Linked DNA regions of Arabidopsis thaliana. The protein of the gene in region 2 interacts with the protein of the main gene of each other region in a biochemical or structural test. Each region holds a gene or a part of one and is shown on either strand. Other genes may lie near its edges. The genes, in order: CDKB1;1, CYCD4;1, CDKB2;1 and CDC2.

Region 1 (4,130 bases), on a different chromosome or scaffold from region 2:
AATATCAGCAATATATTGACTGGGAAATGCTTAGCTAAAATAACACCAAGCAGTGGGCCTCCAAAAGATGATGAGAGCAGCAGCAGTAATTGTATGGGAAAGAACTCAAAGCAAAGAAGAAACGCTGTAGCTGAAGCTTTGGAAGACATAACCGCTCTTTTCTACGACGAAGAACGCAATGAGATATACACAGGAAACAGACACGGCCTTGTTCATGTGTGGTCCAATTGATTTCACATACATCGTCATCGTTAGCTGCTACTACTACTACTACGAATGTATCATTTGGTTTCCTTCAATTGTGTGTAGCGATAAATCTTTTTAACTTAGTGTCTTTGAGCAGCCATCTGTGTTGTAAACCATTTGTGGGCAAGTGTGCGCGTCAGAATGCCAGTTGTGTACACTAATACCATTGTACGTAACATTTGGGTTTTGACAATTCTATGAAAGACCCTTTATTCCACCTGTAAGGTCTCACTTTAATTTTCAAAATTGACTTGATTCAGATAGTTGAGCATCAACTTTGTATGATTACACAAAAACAAGCGATTGATAGAAAATCATCTCATTGCTACCACACCATTGTGTTTTACATTCACTTGAGAATACAAGCTTTACCAGTTTCTTCTGAAAGACTACAAATCTCTAAACCAAACATAAGACACTAATGTGTCGGAAACAAAGATAGATCAAATGTTTAAATTCACCAAGACGATGACAACAGATACAGCAATGAACTTCAGAACTGAGACTTGTCAAGGCTGTCAAAATATGGGTGATCAAGTGCTGTTTTTGCTGAAATTCTTTCGGCTGGATTGTACTTGAGCATTTTCTGCAATTGTACAAACATAAGCTCAATCAGAAAGATTTAACCAAGCAATTCAGCTTAGGAAAAAAAGAGGGAAGCAGAAGCAAGAGGTAACAATATTAGAGCAACTTTGCAACAAAGCTATGGTCATCAGGGAGTTATTTACCGTGAGAAGATCAACTCCTTGAGGTGAAAGAGAAGGAACAGCAAGAGTTAAGTCTTGCGGCTCCCACTTAGGGTAAACATGCCAGTCACGCAGTGTGGAAACACCCGGCCATTGCTGCTCAGTTGGTGTTCCTAGCAACCTCCATGAACCAAATAGGAACCATTAGTAAAGATCATAGTCTCTATTCAAGAATGCTAAATCCATTGAATAATTGGTCAAAGAAACCTGGACTATATAGAATCAGTTGTTCTCAATTGGTAAGCTAGCATATCATTCAGTGATGCAATTCACACTGAAACAGGACAAAACCAGAAGAAGTAATGGAAGGTAAATTCAAAATACCTGAAGATATGAAGCAATTGCTGAAACTCAGAATCACCAGGGAAAAGAGCTTGCCTCCGAACCATCTCAGCTATACAAATTCAAAGATTGAAACAGCATAAATACAAAATCACATCGCAGAGAGACGAATTCAAAAACATAAAAGCATAATTGAGACTACTAACCAAAGATACAACCAACAGACCACATGTCAACACCAGTTGAATAATGAGTAGATCCAAGAAGAACTTCAGGAGCTCTATACCAAAGAGTAACAATCTCATGCGTATAAGACTTAAGAGGAACAGTAAAAGCACGACCAAGACCCAAATCAGCAATCTTAAGAAGCTCTTTATCTTTCACCAGAAGAAGATTCTGCGGTTTAAGATCACGGTGAAGCACACCATGACTATGACAATGCGCAACACCTTTACAAAGCTGAAACATCAACTTCTGAATCAAAAAAGGCTCAAGAGGCTTAGGATTAGGTCCTTTCCTATACGAATCGATGAATTTCTTAAGATCAGTATCGAGATACTCGAAAACGAGATAGAGATTGGATTTGGTAGATTGAGATTTGGTTGATGGTTGATGAACATGTTCGACGCAGAGTAATCGAACAACATAGATCGATGTTGATAACATCTGGAGAAGCGAGATCTCACGAAGAGCAGTTGGTGGAATACCTTCTTCGTCCATCTCGAGACGAGTTTTCTTCAGAGCAACAAGCTTACCAGTTCCTTTCTCCATCGCTTTGTAGACTTTCCCGTATGTTCCTTCTCCGACCTTCTCTAGCTTCTCGTACTTCTCCATTTCTGAGAGGTTTCGTAAAATTGAACTGTGTTGGTTTCTGGACTTTTGATTAACCCTATTATTTGATCAGATTAATGAAGATGATGGATTGTGAGAGAGAGAGAGAGAGATGCTTTCGCTAAGATACTTCCACGTCACTTCGTTTTTCCCGCTCCTTTGGATTTTGAATTCGTTCGTGACAACTGCAACAGATTAACCTAAAGTCGTGACCTCTGTGAATGTTTTTGGGGAAAACTAATTGGACTCACTTATTTTGGTCTAATCTGATATCTACTCAGATGATTTGCGTGAGTTGACGAGTTCAAATTCTTCACGAGTTATATCGGGAAGCCACATATCGATATCGAAACACCAATGGTGCGAATTAAAACATATTAATAGAAGATGAAGATTAGAACTTTCTGTTTCATGAAACAGATAACGAATGAAGAAATGTGATTTTGAACTTCAAAATGTACAAAACATTTTTTGAAAGCTACAAATTCCTATTCTCCACCAGCAATTTCTTCTTTTGCATCTTCATCAATTTCATCAACTTCATCTTTCTTGTCACCTACTAGCTCAGACACAATTTCCAGTCCTTTCTTTACTCTCTCTATCTCCTTCTCTTTCTCTTCCAGTTTCTCTTGCAATATTATCACCTGAGATTTATCAAAGTCACATATTTCCAACAAAACCATAATCATTCTTCCGTTTTAAGAAAAATCTTGAGGAATTAAGAGATAAGAGAAAAGGATCAACACCGTTTCATTTGATCTCTCAACATCATTAGTTAATTCCTCCATGTGTTTGTACAGTCCTGCATTCCACAAAAATCCTCAAATCCAAATTGCAAACTCTACAAAAATCTTTGCTATAACTTAATATCAACATATGACTTACCTTCAAATTGACTTCTAAGTTCCGCGTTTTGAGACTTCTGCATTGCAAGCTTTATTGCTAGTTCATGAATCTGCCATTCCACATGAACATAGGCAAGCATCAATTTCTTTACCCTTTTCAGGGAATCATGTTTTACAAAGGTTGAAGAAGACTACTGCTTTACTATATAATTCATATAATTCCAGATTGAAGACTGAGAGTAGAACAAACTATACCTTTCCTTCGGCAGCTTGGTGCCCAATCTCCTCATTTTCCTCTTGCAGGGTTCTGCACTTTGCCATAAGCATCTTTCCATTCTTGCTTTGAGGAGTAAAAGTAACTGCTGCAATGTTGTCCTGGAGTTCCTTGATCTTCTTGTCTTTTTCCTCTACTAGATTCTGCATAATAGAAACATGGAATCAAACTTCATCTACTCTTTACTTAACTGCAACAAATGTACATTAACAAAAAGTTGGGAATGTTCGTCCTCAACTGTATCTACTACGACAGTGTCAGCTATCAGTTATTAAGGAATTATTCTTTCAGGCCATTCATAACGAAAGCGGAATTTTGTTCCGTAGATACAGTTTGGATTATCTAAGGATATATTACGACAAATACATCCTTATGAAAAAGTAGTCTAAGGGTAAATAGAAACGAGTAGGTGCAGACCTTCAGACGTGAAAATTCTTCATGAATTGCTGGATCCAGTAACAACCTCCTCGCCTACAAAGGTAAACAAAGAATAAATAATCTACACTGCTATCTGATCATGACAAGCTGCTAAATGACCATTGCAATTCAAAATTTATAGCCATTTCTTCTATTCAGACTTGTTAATAATTCAGATGCCAGGTAAAGGTTTACAAGAAACATGCGCTTATCATCGTATTCAGACTGAAATCTAAAAGGCAAGGAAAAGGTTTCCCTCTACATGCATCAAGGTCGAGGATGACCGTCATAAAAGGTACACTACGGCATAAAAAGCGGACTATGCCTAGAAAAGTCCAAGTTACTTCAACAGCTAACTTTTTTCACGATTTGTATTGTTGGCACAATTGTATAAATTATTCCAGAATCAAAACATTGGGAGAACTATATACCTGCATTGACGCTGGCTTGAGTTGAGATTTCAAATCGCGAACAGCTGACTAGAAATAC
Region 2 (4,879 bases):
CGCACAATTATTTTATTTCAGGATCATCAAATTGCTAGTATGCCATGCGACAATGGTAGACCCAAATGATTAAATTTAATGAATATAGCATTGGCCCATTTTCTTCATAGTTACAGATCCTAGAGGTTTAGTGGACCTGGAGTCCAATCATTTTATTTATTTTTTGTTAAAAAGTTTTCAATAAAATATTGGGATTTTGGAGTTTTGTTGATAAAAGGTATAAAACGCAAAAGCTCCATAAAGCACAACCTAGCTTTGGTCTCTTTACGTCAACTTTAAGTCAAAGACTTCTGTTCGTGGGCCCAATTCTAAGCCCATTAGTGCGATGCGCGCTTTATCTCACAACGGCACCGTTTGAATTAAAAAAGGTCAACTCTAACGCTCAACAGAACCGATACGGTTTTTTCCCGCTATATTTATTTGGCGGGAACCAATTAAAAAAAGCTCTGTTTTTCCTTTGTTTTATTTTCTTTCTCTTTTTTGCTATTTCCTGCCAACAAAAAATTCTTATAATTTTATTTGTTCAGTATTACCAAAGCTATAAACAAATCAAATATTGAAATTAATACACTTTTATTTATTTAAAAATTTTTGCTTTGATTTATTGTCCTCTTTTTTCAACCTCTCATCAGACATCATACTGATTATAATAATGTAAGAAAAAAACAGTTTTTTTTTTAAGAAAGATGTGTATAAGAAGAAGAAGAATCATGGGTCTTAAAGCTGAAACAACAAGCCGATACTTCTAAAACCCCATTGGGTGTTTGTGAACATAAGTCTGAGCCATCACTCTCTATCATTTCCCCTATCTTCTTCACTCTCTCCTGCAATAAAAGGAACCACAAAGTTTAAAGCTTGACACTTTTGTTTTTGTCTCTTGAACACAAACACAAACACAACACACAAAGATCTCTTCAGCTTTTTCTGGTGTAGAAAAACAACTAATGGAAACCAGGCTGATGTTTTGGATTGCAAGATCAAATCAGAATCAAACATGTTTTTGTGGGGGCAGATTGGTTTTAGATGTGACTAGAGGCTGTGCAGTGAATGTGTGTGTGTGACAGAGAGAGTCACAAGACACATAGCTAGAGAATAATATAATTTAAAGTGGTCTTTGGTCTACTCTCCACTAGTTTTGGAAGTCAAAGGATTCAGACCCATTAACCGGTTTCTCTTTTTTTTTTTTTTTTTTTTTTTACTTTTTGGATTTATAATTACACATATTATGTGTATGCAATGAATAAGTTAGTGCACACACATATATACACATAAATGTGTCATCTTTAATGAGTTCAAACTTCTCCACAACTGGCATTTCCTTGAAATTGAACCACCAAAGGCTGCTTTATATGTGTGTGTGTGTTTGGTATTAAAAAACAATAGATTTATGAGTTTGAGATGTTTGGTGGATTGTTTTTTACCTTTTGAAGTAGTGAGAAAAGAGGAGAGAAGGAAGAGTTGTCAAAGTGTACTCTCTGCAATTCTCCAGAAACAGAAAGTGCCACAGCAGCAGCAACTTCAGAAGGTCTAAACTCCAAAAAGTCAATACCTGCTCACTCGACACAACCACCATTTTAATCCAAAATCATAAAAAGCAAAAGTGAAAAAAACAACAAAACCCAAAAAAGCACAAAAACAAAAGTGGTCAAGAAAATAAAACATAAAGGAAAGACTTTTTTTTTCACCTTTGGTTGTGCTGGCTATCACTTGTAATGATCTAGATATCAATGTGTTGGATGGTTCTTGATCACATTTACTCATCTTTCTCAGGAAATATCTTATGTATGAGCATGGAGTTATTGCTCTCAATCTCCATTTCAATTTGTTCAACACCAAAAGCTCCATTCTTTGGACTGATTTAGCCTCAAACACAAACTGAGGATCTCCAACCTGTTCCGAAATGTGATCAAACCGCAATCGATTCAAGACATTGTCGGGTCGAATAGAACATCTCGACAATTTAACGAGTTTAGAGGAGAACCTGAAGATCTATCAACATTGGAACTTCAGTTTCTTCAATTTTGGCTGCCAATGATAAACAAGCCACAGCCAACAACTGCAATATCCAACCTTTGCCACTCTACAAGAAGAATCACAAATCAAGAAGCGAAAAAATGAGACTTTTTGATGATGAATGGCTAAAAACATTATCAATCTTTTAGTTTAACCAATGTGAACTTACAGGCAAATCATGAACCGATAAGAATCGATCCAAGTAGTTCATTGCTAAGCAAAAACACAATGGTCCAAACTGGTGTACTTCACAAGCCTGTTGTAATCAGAACAGAAGAAAAGATCAATTAGAGATCTAAAACTCTGAGACTGAAGTGAATCTATTGTCAATTGAAGTGTGAAAGATCGGAAATTGAGCATCAGATTTACAGATTTAAGACAAAACCTCTCTATCTGTTCTGCATAAGCCTCTGATCTAATAGACATAGCAACACACTCTTTATGTTCAGATCATTCATCAAAAGGATTGTGCTTTTCACAATTTGAGCTTATACAGATCATTCAAAACCAATCAACATCCAAATTTCAAAACCAGAAATCAAAATCAAATAGAGAATCAGACCTTCCAAATCCAATTGAGGGCATCTCTTCTTCCAACATTCAAATCCAAATCTCCACTTCTAAGTCTCTTGATGTAATCATCACTTGGCAAATGCTGCTTCTCCTTCTCCACCATCTCCATGATAATCTCCTCACTCTCCGATTGAGAAAAACCCATCTGAGGAATCGAAATTTCAATCGGAGTTTCGTCAACAATCATGCCCTCATCATCAACGTTGCTCTCTGTACATAAAAGACTCAGTTCTAGATTCTCCTCTGCCATTACAACAGAGTGTTCATGTAAGAAAAATTGATCCTTTGTATTTGGTAATCGATCTAAAAGGAACTGTATCGTTAGATTGTCATCTAGAGATTGGGGAAGTGAAAGAAAGATTGGGTCTTTGATATTTCTGTATGCCCTCGTGGAGGAAGGGGTTTTTGTTTTGGGGTTGAGGGTAAAATTAAAGGGTGAAGCTTTTCTTTTTTTTATTGAGGAAGTTAAGAAATGTGGTTTTTAGGGTAAGATGGAGATTGTGTGAGAAGGAGAGAGGCTATATATAATGGTGAAGAAGATGAAAAATGTAAGATAAAATTTGAAGATTTTAGAAAGTGAATTGACTATCATGGTAACAAATGTGAGAAGTTGGAAAATTATGAAAATGTGGTAGGAAATTGAGGTGAGAATTGAAAAGTTAGTTGGTTTTATTCGTTGTATTTTAGTTTTTAGATGATGAATCGAGTGAATATCGTTGGTAGTTCGGTATCAGATTTGCGCCATAAGTTTTTTGGAATTTGTATTTCGGTCTTGTATGCATAGTTAACAGTTAACATTTTTGTATATTCAATGGTAAAATATTGAATGTTGAAAGATTTAATCATAGTATATGTCTTTACATATTTTTTGATATTTCATAATTTTATTCCTTGTTTTAATAACAGTAAAATATATATAGTTTGACTAATAGTTTAAAACAGTATTGAATTCTATAAATCTTAGGAAATATTTTTTAACAAAATTGTTTGACTAAATAATGCAATTTGATATTATGATCGAAATATACGCTGAATCATGATATTTTATTTTCAATATCCGACATTGAACAAAATAAAAATGACCCCAAAAAAACTAATGTAAATTCATGCCACAAATAAAAAGAAGTTTTGAATGTAAAATTTGACTCAAAATCCATCTATAATGATATTTGAACCATTTGCTCTGGTAGATCTTTGACCACTGTTTTTTGATTCTAGGGTCACTTTTAGACACAATAATTTCAATATCTATCATCATTGCATATACCTTTGAATGAAAAAGCAGACTGTATATTTGTATAAGAACTACGTCATATACTCATTTAAGTTCAAAATATGGTCTCTGTTTGTTACACAATATGGTCTTTGTTTTTTACACATTATGGTCTTTCTTTAATATGGTTTTAGTTTACCCAAATATACTGTCTTCTGTTTTACCCAACTTATAAGATTTAACTATAAGGTTTTTAATATTTATAAAAGTATTTATTTTTGTTCTCTTGCAAGTTGAGGTCAATAACTAGTGCTCTATCACCTCCAAAGATTCTACATTAGTATATTTGTAAGGAGATTAGTATTTTTTATTTATAAATAGTAATTAGTAATTTTCTACCACATGAAAATAAAGCTAGCTACGCGACGAGTTGCTTGAAAACACCACACGAGAATTTCTTGCTTGAGGTTACATGGCAAATAGTCATCGAGCCACTGGTTTCAACTTTCAACTACTATATAGTCATGTTATGGAATGAAACATCAAACATTAGCTCATTGTCATTTTAGTTAACAAAGTCGTATTTTGTAGGAAGCAAATGAATTACACAAAATTCATTGCAATAATAAAGAAAATTTTTCCTTGAAAACGATTATCTTACTTTCAAAAATCAAATTTCATTCTATATTATATCTGTTATTCTTACAATTTTCATATTTTCTCGTTTCTTCATTATCAGTCGGAGTCTTAAAAAATTGTAAAGATAAACTCCTGTTCATACAATATATTCTTATCCAACTAAGTTTTAGAAATCACCGATGCGCACCAAAACACACAGCTTTTTGAAATTGTAAAGTAGAAACAAGTCTACAACTATACGACCGCAAAAAACCCTTTAACATAAATTAAAAAAAAAAAAAACTATACGACCGCGAGCATGTTTGATCTTTCGGTTTGTAGAATTTTATAAGATATAAAAGAAATGTATTATATCATTTTACCAAGGTGCTCTTTTATTTTGTTGGTAGTGTAGTAGTAAGTATAGTAATAACGTGATTGTGACAATCACGTGTCAGCTAA
Region 3 (4,358 bases), on a different chromosome or scaffold from region 2:
GTTTCTTTTGGCTAAAGAGATGGGGCCATTCCTGCTATGACCCTGATTCTTGGAGGAAACTTACTTAAAGGAATGAGGAGGTCGGAAGTGAGGAGTTCAGAAATGAAAAACTCCTGCATTATCGGCGTCTTGGTAGCTCGTTACATTTTGCTACCTGTAAGCGGTGTTTTACTCGTGAGAGGAGCATACAAGTTGGATTTAGTAACCTCAGAACCCTTGTACCAATTCGTTCTTCTTCTTCAGTATGCTGTCCCACCAGCCATGAATCTAGGTGCATGGCTTGAAACCAACTCCTTAAAATACAGTTACTTCTTTCAGATAAGATACATCACTAGTTTCCCTTACTTTTCAGGTACAAAGACCCAATTATTCGGCGCTGGGGAGAGTGAATGCTCTGTGATTATGCTTTGGACTTACTCTTTGGCTGCAGTTTCACTCACTGTTTGGCCAACATTCTTCATGTGGCTTGTGACATAAATCCCCACACTCGATCTTGTTATATGTATCCATTTATTCAAGAACTTATTCTTAGACTTCCAGATGACTGGATCATTATAATTGCGAATAGTCTTAAGAACATTAAAGCCGTTAATCCAAATATTCGAATAGAAAGAAACAACAATCAGAAGTGATATATTATGCTAAAGAAAGGATGATTCATAGAGGGGGAAGCAGCACACTAGAGATATGCTTGAAAGAAGCAAAACTAGAAAAACCATAAAACTTGGAAAGATACTAACTGAAGATTTTAAATCCTTAGAGAGAGGACTTTTCTGGCAGATCATCAAAGTAAGGATGCTCCATAGCCATCTTTGCTGAGATTCGTTTCGCTGGCTCGTACTGCAGCATTTTCTGTTCCAGGAAGATAAAAACGCAATTAGTTCGTCTGTTGAGTTTGTTTTGGTAGCTAGTTAATAAACTTTAGACTTACAGATAGAAGATCAACTCCAGCCTCGTCGAGGTTTGGAACAGCAGAGGATAGAGTCGATGGTTTCCACTGTGGGTATTCATGCCAGTTCTTGAGTGTGCTCACTCCTGGCCACATTTCTTCATTGGGTGTCCCAAACAACCTGAGTTGTACACCGGAAAGAGCGGCAAAATGAAAAAAGGTTTTCTTATGTTTGTCATGTAAAAGGTGAAGAATCAACAAAGACTTACTTGAAAATATGGAGGAGCTGTTGGAGCTCAGAGTCTCCCTGAAAGATTGCTTGGTTGGTCACAAGTTCAGCTGTAAATGGTGAAGGAACAATGTTAATTGTTGTTGTTTAGTAACTTAAGATGATATCGCAGTGACTAGTGAAATCAACGAGTCTGAAAAGAACACATACCAAATATGCAGCCAACAGACCACATATCCACAGCTGTAGAGTAATGGGTGGCACCAAGAAGAACCTCTGGAGCTCTATACCAAAGAGTTAATATCTGTTGCAATGAACAACCGATTCAAAACCATAAGTTCTACAATACATACAAAGTGGGATAAGTGCAAGAAGCAGTGTCAAACATTGATTACCTCATGGGTATACTTCTTCATTGGCAGAGTGAAGGCTCTGGCTAAACCAAGATCTGCTATTTTGAGCCTCATTGTCTTGGGATCCATCAAGAGATTGTGAGGCTTGAGATCTCTGTTTTGAAACAAGGAGAAATAGTAAGAAGAAGAAATCTCTCTTCCAAGTTATTATCTAAAATCATTCTCACTTAGAAGTTGAAAACAAGGGAAAGCCAGAGAACAATTCACCTGTGCAATATCCCGTGACCATGGCAGAATGCCATACCTTTGCATAGTTGATACATCAAGCTCTGCAAATAACTTTTCAGAATGTTATGTTTGGTTCAAGTGAGCACAAATGAAGCGAGAAAGAGAGATGACAGTAATAAGGTGGTTAAAAACCTTGATAGTTTGGGTTGGAATGTTCTTGCCAGTGCTACGGAAACTTCTGATGAATTTCTTGACATCAGTGTCCATGTATTCAAAAACCAGGTACAGTACAGTTTTGCCTTCTTTGCTTAGTCCTTGCTTAACATCCATTAACCTGAAAAAGATGACAAATAAAGTTTCCGTATATAATTGATTTTGCAATCACTGGAAAACTAACTGATACAGCGATCCAGATCAAACTCTAGGGAAACATCTATCAACAGTTTCTCAGAGCCAAATCATCTAACAATTAGTAGACTCTTCGAACTGATTACTACGATTTGAAATTGAGATCTATCTAATCTGGAAAACAAGCGAGATAGTGAGAAATCGACTATATAAACCCTAACGCGACTACAAGATCGAGAATATGGGGGCAATTTTATCGAATCAGAGGTAAAACCCTAACCTGACGACGTGAGGATCACGAGCGAGCATTCGCAAAATGGAGATCTCGCGGAGAGTGGTGGAAGGAACGCCTTCTTCGTCCTCATGGAGACGCGTCTTCTTTAGAGCGACGATTTTCCCGGTAGCTTTCTCTCTGGCTCTGTAAACTTTCCCGTATGTCCCTTCACCAACTTTCTCAAGCTTCTCGAAAGCATCCATGGCGGAAACTGCTATAACTCCCTCGTCCATCGCTCTCTAAAATTCTTCTTCTCCGGCGCTCTCTCTCTCTCAGTTGGTTCTTATTGGGAAAGTGAATTGTCGGAGATCAAAGTGTAGATAGGTTATATAATTAAATGAGACCTGAAATTATAGAATCCTTATTCTTGGGCTTTCACAACGGACTGATTTTTCGAAATTCAAACTGGAGCGTGGAGGAGCGGTCTTTTCATAAACGCCTTTTTTTAATTTGCCACGTACTATAGTATTTAATTTTAATTTTTACATTTATTCATTTGTGTCCACTTGTCATATATATCCGTAGGTACTTTGATTTGGTCGCACCATATACAAATTATGATCGAGAAGGCAACAAGAAGATTAGTGAACCCAAACACAGACTTCTTCATTAAAAAAGCATTACTCAAATCCTTTAACTTTGAATATCCTTTTCCTAAACTCAACTTTGAACAATAAAGTTTGCGTAAATCAGAAGACGACTTCAAAATGGAAAGAGAGAGAGAGAGAGAGAGCTAATGAAGTTTATGGTTAAAGGGAAAACCAAAACAATAAAAAAATCTTTAAGCAAATTGCTGACCGCTGGTGGAAGAAGATGAGATCGTAGTGAGAACATCAGTCACCGAGGCCATAACACTCAATGCCGCTTTCAAAACATCTTGAGAGCAACCCGGTTTCACAATCGTCCTCACCTGATCAAGATACTCCTGCAGCTTCTTGATTTTCCCCATGTAATCCTGGTCTTCTACACACAGACTTACCGCCTTTGCATCTGCACCTGGACCATCATACTGGACTGGTCCTGGGTTTCGGTACATATCTTCCATCAAGAATTTCTGCGCGTTTTGTCTCAATAGACTGCAAAATCATTTGACAAATTATATCACTTGATTTCATGTTCATTCTAATCTTTGTCTAATGAGTGAGGAACAAAAGCTTACTCGTATGCTTTTCCTTTCAAGTCAACTGAAGCTGGATGAATTACAGGTCTACCAATCGTAGTAGAACCAGAATTTTGGGACCAACGCTTAACCGTCATCATTGCCTAAGGTTAAACAGAGAAAGAGATTGGGGTCAGTAAAACTGAAACTTGAAGTCAGAAATCAACACATATACTAAACAACTTTAGCCTTATAAATAAGAGACAAAACTCAACTGAGATAGGCGCAGCCCCGCATTTCCATTTGTTTACAGGACTCTTCAGGTTAGTCACTGTCGCCATGTAACCATTCAAACCAGCTGCGAGGATGTGGTAACATACATGTCCAAGAACCTGCATCAAAGTTATAATCAATGGTGTGAATGTCCATAATATTGAAGTTGCAATAGCATTTTAGTTTGGCGATCACATACATAGGCGTAGTCACAATCGAATTTTGATGGAAGAGATCCACGAGCTTGGTAACCAAAAAAGTGACAGATAGCGTTGAATTTCTTCCCTTTGTAGGTTCCTTCTTTCTGTCATTTTCAAAACTTAGTTTTAGGGACAACTTGAATATTCAGGCAAGGTTATTCAAAAAAATTTGAAAAAAATGGATTGTGACAAGTGAAAAAGATGTGCAACATACCAAGCGCTTGTTCATTTCAGTCTCCACAAGATAAGCCAGAAGTTTCTCCGTCTCAATCTAAGAAGAAAGTAAATGAGCAATTAGAATTCCAACTTTTTATAGCACAGTAACTCCATCATTTTCTTTCTTCTTACCTGGGATAGCTGAGCAGAATCATCAGACTCGGGATGGAGAAGTAGCTGCAGAAACAAAGAAGACAATTTATCATAAGAACACATACTCGTTTACATGTGAGAAAAAACAAAGAAAAG
Region 4 (5,681 bases), on a different chromosome or scaffold from region 2:
ATTTTAAAACGTAAAAAGTATAAATGCACTTTGATAATCATACATATATTCATGAATAAATAGATCGGTCTATTTTACACGAGGCTATGCTTTTTTGAGTTTTTCAGACACTTAAGTTTATGCCTCCCATTGGACTTGATTTTCAGAATGGAAGCGTCTTTGCTTAGTGAATAGATTGAAACCACTGCTAACTAACACTGAAATGGTTATCAGGTACCTTCATTTAGTTTCGAATTAGATTATTGACATTTGATCTACTTCGAATTTCGACCAACTGTAAAATGTAATCCAAACTATCGAATACGTGTTGAATTGTTCTTCTCGTCAATTTATTTGTCAGCTTTTTCTGGTCAACTTTGGTCTCATTAATGATTGGCTACTTGGACCCTCTTGTCTCATTAAAAACGGTGCACCCTTTATAAATAGGAAATTAAGATCGACGGACCATATATACTAGTTATCAAATGACGTCGTAACTCGTAAATAAGTACTAATGAAATCGAAAAAAGTGATGTTTTTTGGGATATATTTCAAAAGATCACTATCAAGGCACAATCAAGAAGCTGAGAAGTTGCATAATATGGTCATTTTGCAAAACAAAAACCATATTTCATATAGGGAAATACTATATTCTGGGTAAAATAAGATACAAGAAACTGATCTCAAAAGCTTAGAAGTAAAAAAAAACACACTCGAAATCTTCTTCTTTCTTTTTTTTCGTAATAGAATATAAGTAGGAAACGAACTCAGAAAAAGAATAAACAAAACCCATTAATATTGTTCTTCATTTTCTTAGGATTGATAATTATATATAGAATGAAGGAGATTACTGGTTTTATGCCTTTCTAAGGCATGCCTCCAAGATCCTTGAAGTATTCATGCTCCAGGGCGGCTCTTGCGTTGATTCTTTTGGTCGGATCCATTAACAGCATTTTCTGAAACAAATCAAGCAGAGAGATATATTATCATCTTTGCTTTCACAGGAGCTCAAAATCTTAGATTTCTATCCAGATGTCTGGTTTGGTTAGGAATTTCAAGAATCCTGGTTTTTGAAGATTGTTCATATTTCAAACAAGTTTGGTTTTGGCTTCATGTGGTTTTGAAACTATGAAGCCTAATCGAATTGGTTTTAGTACGCCGGCTCTTGATGACTTTATAAGACATCTAAAACCTCAAATGGTTAAAAGGTTTTTAGTAAGAAACATGAGACCAGATCCATCACAATCAAGCATACAGGTCTCTAATAGCAGAAGTAGTGTGTCTATATATGTGTGTGTATATATCTAGCTCAGTGAACTTACAGAAAGGAGATCGACTCCATCGGGATCTAGATTGGGGACAAAAGTTTCTAGGTCCTGTGGTATAAGAAAAAAAAACAAGGGCAAGAATTAATATATGTTGTGAACTCTTGACTACTGAAGACAAGATGTACAAGCGAATAAAGACATTTGAAGTACCGTTGGTTTCCATTTAGGGAAAGCAGATTTATAATCCGGTAGAGAAGTTACCCCACGCCATGTATCCTCGTACGGAGTTCCCATGATTCTAGAAGAAGACAACAAAACAAGGCAGTAACAGATTTATAATCAGTTAACAATTCAATTTCTGTGTCCTTTACTACTTCTCCAAAATGTGATATCAAGTTGAAAATGTTTCCACAATCCCTTGTGATATCATTGCAGACAAGTCTTTGCACTTGTAATATATAGAGGAATATTGGACTGGGGAAGTTAGCAATTAAACCTGAAAATCTTGAAGAGTTGATCAATCTCGGAGTCTCCAGGAAATAAGGGCTTTTGGCTGATCATCTCAGCAAATATGCACCCCACAGACCAAATATCAACAGGTGTAGAGTAATGATGAGATCCTAGGAGTATCTCTGGTGCTCGGTACCAGAGAGTAACAACCTAAAGGAACAATATGCAAAAATTGTGTGAATAACCAGGAAGAGATCTGAAATCTGGATGTAGCATTGAAATATTTTACAGTATCTTGAACTAGCTTACTTCAACCGTCTATGTGAAATGGCTTAGTCCTTTTCATCACATTTATCAGACACATAAGTGGTATAATACTTAATTTACATTACACTCATAAGGAATGCAGCCAGCCAAAAGATTTCATAACGGGAACATATGAACAAGGAATAAAGCTCTTTGGTACCTCATGAGTAAATGTCCTGACAGGGATACCGAATGCTCTGGCCAGTCCAAAATCAGCAAGCTTCAGTGAGTTTGTGCGGCGATCAATCAACAAATTCTGTGGCTTCAGATCACGATGGAGAACCCTATGAGAGTGGCAATACGCAATTCCACGGAGAATCTGGTAAAGATATGTCTGAAAATAGTGGATGAACAGCTCTGATCAGCTTATATTGAGTATTGAGTTTAAGCACATATATAAAACAATGCCTAAAGTTTCTTAGCACTCACTTTGATCATATGTAGATCCTTGGAGAAATCAGGAGTAGAATCCATGTGCTTTTTGAGATCCAAGTCAAGATACTCAAAAACCAGATACAAACGTTTCTCGCTGTGCACCACATCCTGCAATCTGTGTAGCAAAAAACATCAATCAAAATTGTTTACCAGAGTCATCATGCTGAATCAGTTTTCAACAATGGTATTAACATCATACTTGACAATGTTGCTGTGCTGCATTTCTTTCAAGAGGGAGATTTCTCTGATTGCTGTGCTAGGAACACCTTCATCCTCCTGCTCTAGCCTGATCTTCTTCAAAGCAATTGTCTCATTAGTCACTTTGTCACGTGCCTTATAAACCACACCGTAAGTTCCTTCACCAATCTTCTCAACTTTCTCGTACTGCATTAATAAGAGCACATTAACAGAGACTCTCGTCAAAAGAGTAAGAACTGAAACAACTATTTACACCAACCTGATCCATCAATTCCTGAATAATAAAGCTGAAGTAAACTCCACACTTATAAAATGTCACCTGTAGATTGATAATGACACATCGATAATAACACATCAGAGGCTATATTAATTAAGCTGTATATCAGCACACAACAATCTCAAAATTAAAGTCAAATCTACACAAAGACGCAAAGAAACAAATCAATCTCAGATCCGAGCTACTGTGGATTTGATTCTTTGGACAGAATTATGAAAATGAACAATCAAACAAGCCAGCTGAATCCAGAGCAGCGAACTCATATATTATCAAATCCATAGAAACATAGAGCTAAAGCGAACAATCATAAACACTGATGACAAAATGCACACAAGCAAAACCAGTCTAAATCTAGTGAAACACTAAGAAACGCCACTGAAAATGCAAAACGGAGGAAAACAAGTAGAGATCAGCGACGAAGCAGTAAGATAATTGAAGATGGAGAAAAGATAAAGCGTTTGATGAATTGACAACAAAGTTCAAGTCAGAATTTCGCACGGAAAACAAGTTCCTCCTCCGGAAAAGAAATTGATCGGAGAGTAACGAAATCAACTTACCGGCGACGATCGGATGTAGTGTCAGTGAGACTAGCACACCGACGGATCCTCTCTCTTCTCTGTGGTAAAAAGGCAGTAGAGAGAGAAGGGTGGTGGTTTTCTGTGAAAAGCTTGAAGAGAGGAGGACTAGGGAAGGGGATTGACTAATTGAGAGTAAGGGTTTTTTCTTTCTTCTTTTTTTTTTTTTGTGTCAAGGAAATTTTGTTCGTTATTTTTTTTTTCTCTTCTTTAATTTCCAATAAATTGAATTTACCTAACCGCATTAATTTGGTACAATTTTATTTATTATACCGGGTTTGATTGGTATTCAATGATAAAAAAATATATCTTTTATGATGAAAATGGTTTGCTATCTTATAAAATGGTATATGAACCAAAAAAAAATCATTGCAGACCAATTATAAATCAAGAGTTTTGGTTTTACATTGGATTGTTGTCTATCTCAACGATCCATTTGACAAGCAAAATTGTATGTCCGGTTTGCTGTAACCATTTAGAATCTAAGTTAGAAAAAGACGTTTTAGATCATAAAAATGAAAATGGAGAAACATATGTATCCTGTAAGTCTTTGGAGGACCAACCAAAATATAAATGGGCAATAATATGAAAGTTGTTTTAATTAAAAAATATGTCAGTAAACAACTCAACATTTAATGTAAATAATAAAGTCTGGCACCTTGGACCAACACAAAGATAAATGATCAATAATATGAAAATCATATGTTAAATGTTGAGTTAAGAGACGAGTCTTATTCATGTGGATCTTCATCAATGCTGATTTTAGTATCTAAATTTAGTCTTTAGCAGTTATATTTATATAATAATATATATAGTATAACGTTCAATATAACCGATTTTACAAAAAAAAAAATACTTCCCAAAATCCTCGTTTATTTCGCACTTGCTCACATAAAATTTCCAAATACTTTTTTTATAAACAAACCAAAATTAATACTTGCAAGAATAACGTGAGTAGAACGAGAAAAAATAAACTATTCAATAAATCACCCTGATATTCTGATACTTTATGAAAGAAAAAAAAAAAACTCAAAATTTTGTAACTAATTAAAGAACACAAAACTTTTCTACGATATATATATCTTCAAAACTTTTATCCCAAGAGTTCAAAAATATTAAACATAAGCCGATCTCGTGATCAATTTTTTAAGTTATTCTCTGAACAAGCAACTGCCATATATTAACATTTTTAAGTAATCAAATATATATAATTGGTGAGAATTGATTTATTTTCAGATATTTCTCACATTTGTATATTTTGGGAGATTAGATATATAAAGTTTTTTCTGATAAAAGAGCTATACGGTTATCAGTTGTAAGTAAGGGAATTGGCAAAACTAACCAACAAAAAGTTTATAATTAAGAAACTAACATCAAAAGGAAAAAGAACTGATATCCTCTATATTTTGTATATTAATTCCAAGTTTACCCCTTTATCTATTTTTCTCCATTTCTCTTTCCGTCTACCTCTCTCTTCCCTTCTATCTTCCCTCCCTCTTTCTCTCTCTCCCCCTCTCTCTTTCTCTCTCTTTCTTTTTCCCTCTCCCTCTCTCTTTCTCCCAGTAAAGTCTTTACACCTACCTCGTTACTTGTTTTTGTTTTCAAATCAGAGTCTCTTAATTACTTTTGGGTGAGATTTGATTTGGGGGTTTCGAATTACAGAGGGAGGAACACAATTTGGATTCAGGGAATCGACTTTCGTTGTTGCGCTTGGTGTCTTGGTGATGAAATTGAGTTTCGTTGTTGCAATTTGAGAGATACTATTCTATTTGTAAATATACTATTTACGTATACTTTGTTTTATATACGTTTTAAAATGAATTATTTGTTTTGATTAAGGATGTTAAGTGATTTAATTATTGGTTTAGATTTAAACTCTTGGGTTCTCTATATATTATCCTTTAGGGTTTAATATCTTTCTATAAAAAAATATTGTTTATCTATATAGAACTTTATGTTATTCATTGACAACACTATTCACATCTAAATTATTTTATGTTTGTTTTCAAAAATTTAAGTCATGATATATGTAGAAAACTATACAACTTTTTAATTGATATATCATGAACTTGAATTAAATTTTTTAAGATCAGATAATATGAATTACAATTGGGAAGGGGTAAAGAAAAAAGTAAGAGAAAATGGAACTTCTATCCTACCACCTGATTTCTTTTCTCACCTCAACACCAATAA

Evidence for each region.
Region 1: the proteins of CYCD4;1 (region 2) and CDKB1;1 form a complex in vitro, tested with the Arabidopsis thaliana proteins (one study listed by BioGRID).
Region 3: the proteins of CYCD4;1 (region 2) and CDKB2;1 form a complex in vitro, tested with the Arabidopsis thaliana proteins (one study listed by BioGRID).
Region 4: the proteins of CYCD4;1 (region 2) and CDC2 form a complex in vitro, tested with the Arabidopsis thaliana proteins (2 studies listed by BioGRID).

Annotation. Positions count from the first base shown.
Region 1 is NC_003074.8:20,057,860-20,061,989, reverse strand, and holds CDKB1;1 (cyclin-dependent kinase B1;1), read right to left. Parts: upstream 2,320-4,130; 5' UTR 2,109-2,319; coding exon 1,481-2,108; intron 1,387-1,480; coding exon 1,317-1,386; intron 1,114-1,316; coding exon 975-1,113; intron 833-974; coding exon 740-832; 3' UTR 502-739; downstream 1-501. Other genes in the region: AT3G54190 (Transducin/WD40 repeat-like superfamily protein), read left to right, coding at 1-231; FIP37 (FKBP12 interacting protein 37), read right to left, coding at 2,594-2,749, 2,852-2,907, 2,991-3,060, 3,206-3,367, 3,642-3,695, 4,073-4,120. UniProt on the Arabidopsis thaliana protein: May control G2/M (mitosis) phase progression. Plays a role in regulating seedling growth in darkness via regulation of hypocotyl cell elongation and cotyledon cell development. Plays a role in stomatal development. Required to suppress endoreduplication.
Region 2 is NC_003076.8:26,140,915-26,145,793, forward strand, and holds CYCD4;1 (CYCLIN D4;1), read right to left. Parts: upstream 3,080-4,879; 5' UTR 2,837-3,079; coding exon 2,576-2,836; intron 2,429-2,575; coding exon 2,399-2,428; intron 2,270-2,398; coding exon 2,183-2,269; intron 2,081-2,182; coding exon 1,982-2,080; intron 1,891-1,981; coding exon 1,686-1,890; coding exon of another isoform or gene 1,612-1,685; intron 1,550-1,611; coding exon 1,422-1,549; coding exon of another isoform or gene 1,386-1,421; exon of another isoform or gene 1,199-1,385; coding exon of another isoform or gene 1,196-1,198; exon of another isoform or gene 825-1,195; coding exon 678-824; 3' UTR 556-677; downstream 1-555. UniProt on the Arabidopsis thaliana protein: May activate cell cycle in the root apical meristem (RAM) and promote embryonic root (radicle) protrusion.
Region 3 is NC_003070.9:28,719,798-28,724,155, forward strand, and holds CDKB2;1 (cyclin-dependent kinase B2;1), read right to left. Parts: upstream 2,754-4,358; 5' UTR 2,555-2,753; coding exon 2,328-2,554; intron 2,034-2,327; coding exon 1,892-2,033; intron 1,801-1,891; coding exon 1,739-1,800; intron 1,626-1,738; coding exon 1,514-1,625; intron 1,423-1,513; coding exon 1,329-1,422; intron 1,229-1,328; coding exon 1,159-1,228; intron 1,071-1,158; coding exon 932-1,070; intron 853-931; coding exon 757-852; 3' UTR 531-756; downstream 1-530. Other genes in the region: AT1G76530 (Auxin efflux carrier family protein), read left to right, coding at 18-271, 353-477; AT1G76550 (Phosphofructokinase family protein), read right to left, coding at 3,103-3,397, 3,481-3,584, 3,696-3,812, 3,893-3,997, 4,108-4,164, 4,242-4,286.
Region 4 is NC_003074.8:18,069,461-18,075,141, reverse strand, and holds CDC2 (cell division control 2), read right to left. Parts: upstream 3,689-5,681; 5' UTR 3,471-3,688; intron 2,956-3,470; 5' UTR 2,905-2,955; coding exon 2,896-2,904; intron 2,823-2,895; coding exon 2,638-2,822; intron 2,554-2,637; coding exon 2,433-2,553; intron 2,338-2,432; coding exon 2,164-2,337; intron 1,908-2,163; coding exon 1,744-1,907; intron 1,546-1,743; coding exon 1,458-1,545; intron 1,356-1,457; coding exon 1,302-1,355; intron 936-1,301; coding exon 846-935; 3' UTR 501-845; downstream 1-500. UniProt on the Arabidopsis thaliana protein: Involved in the control of the cell cycle. Essential for both G1/S and G2/M (mitosis) phase transitions. Functions in cell morphogenesis as well as cell proliferation.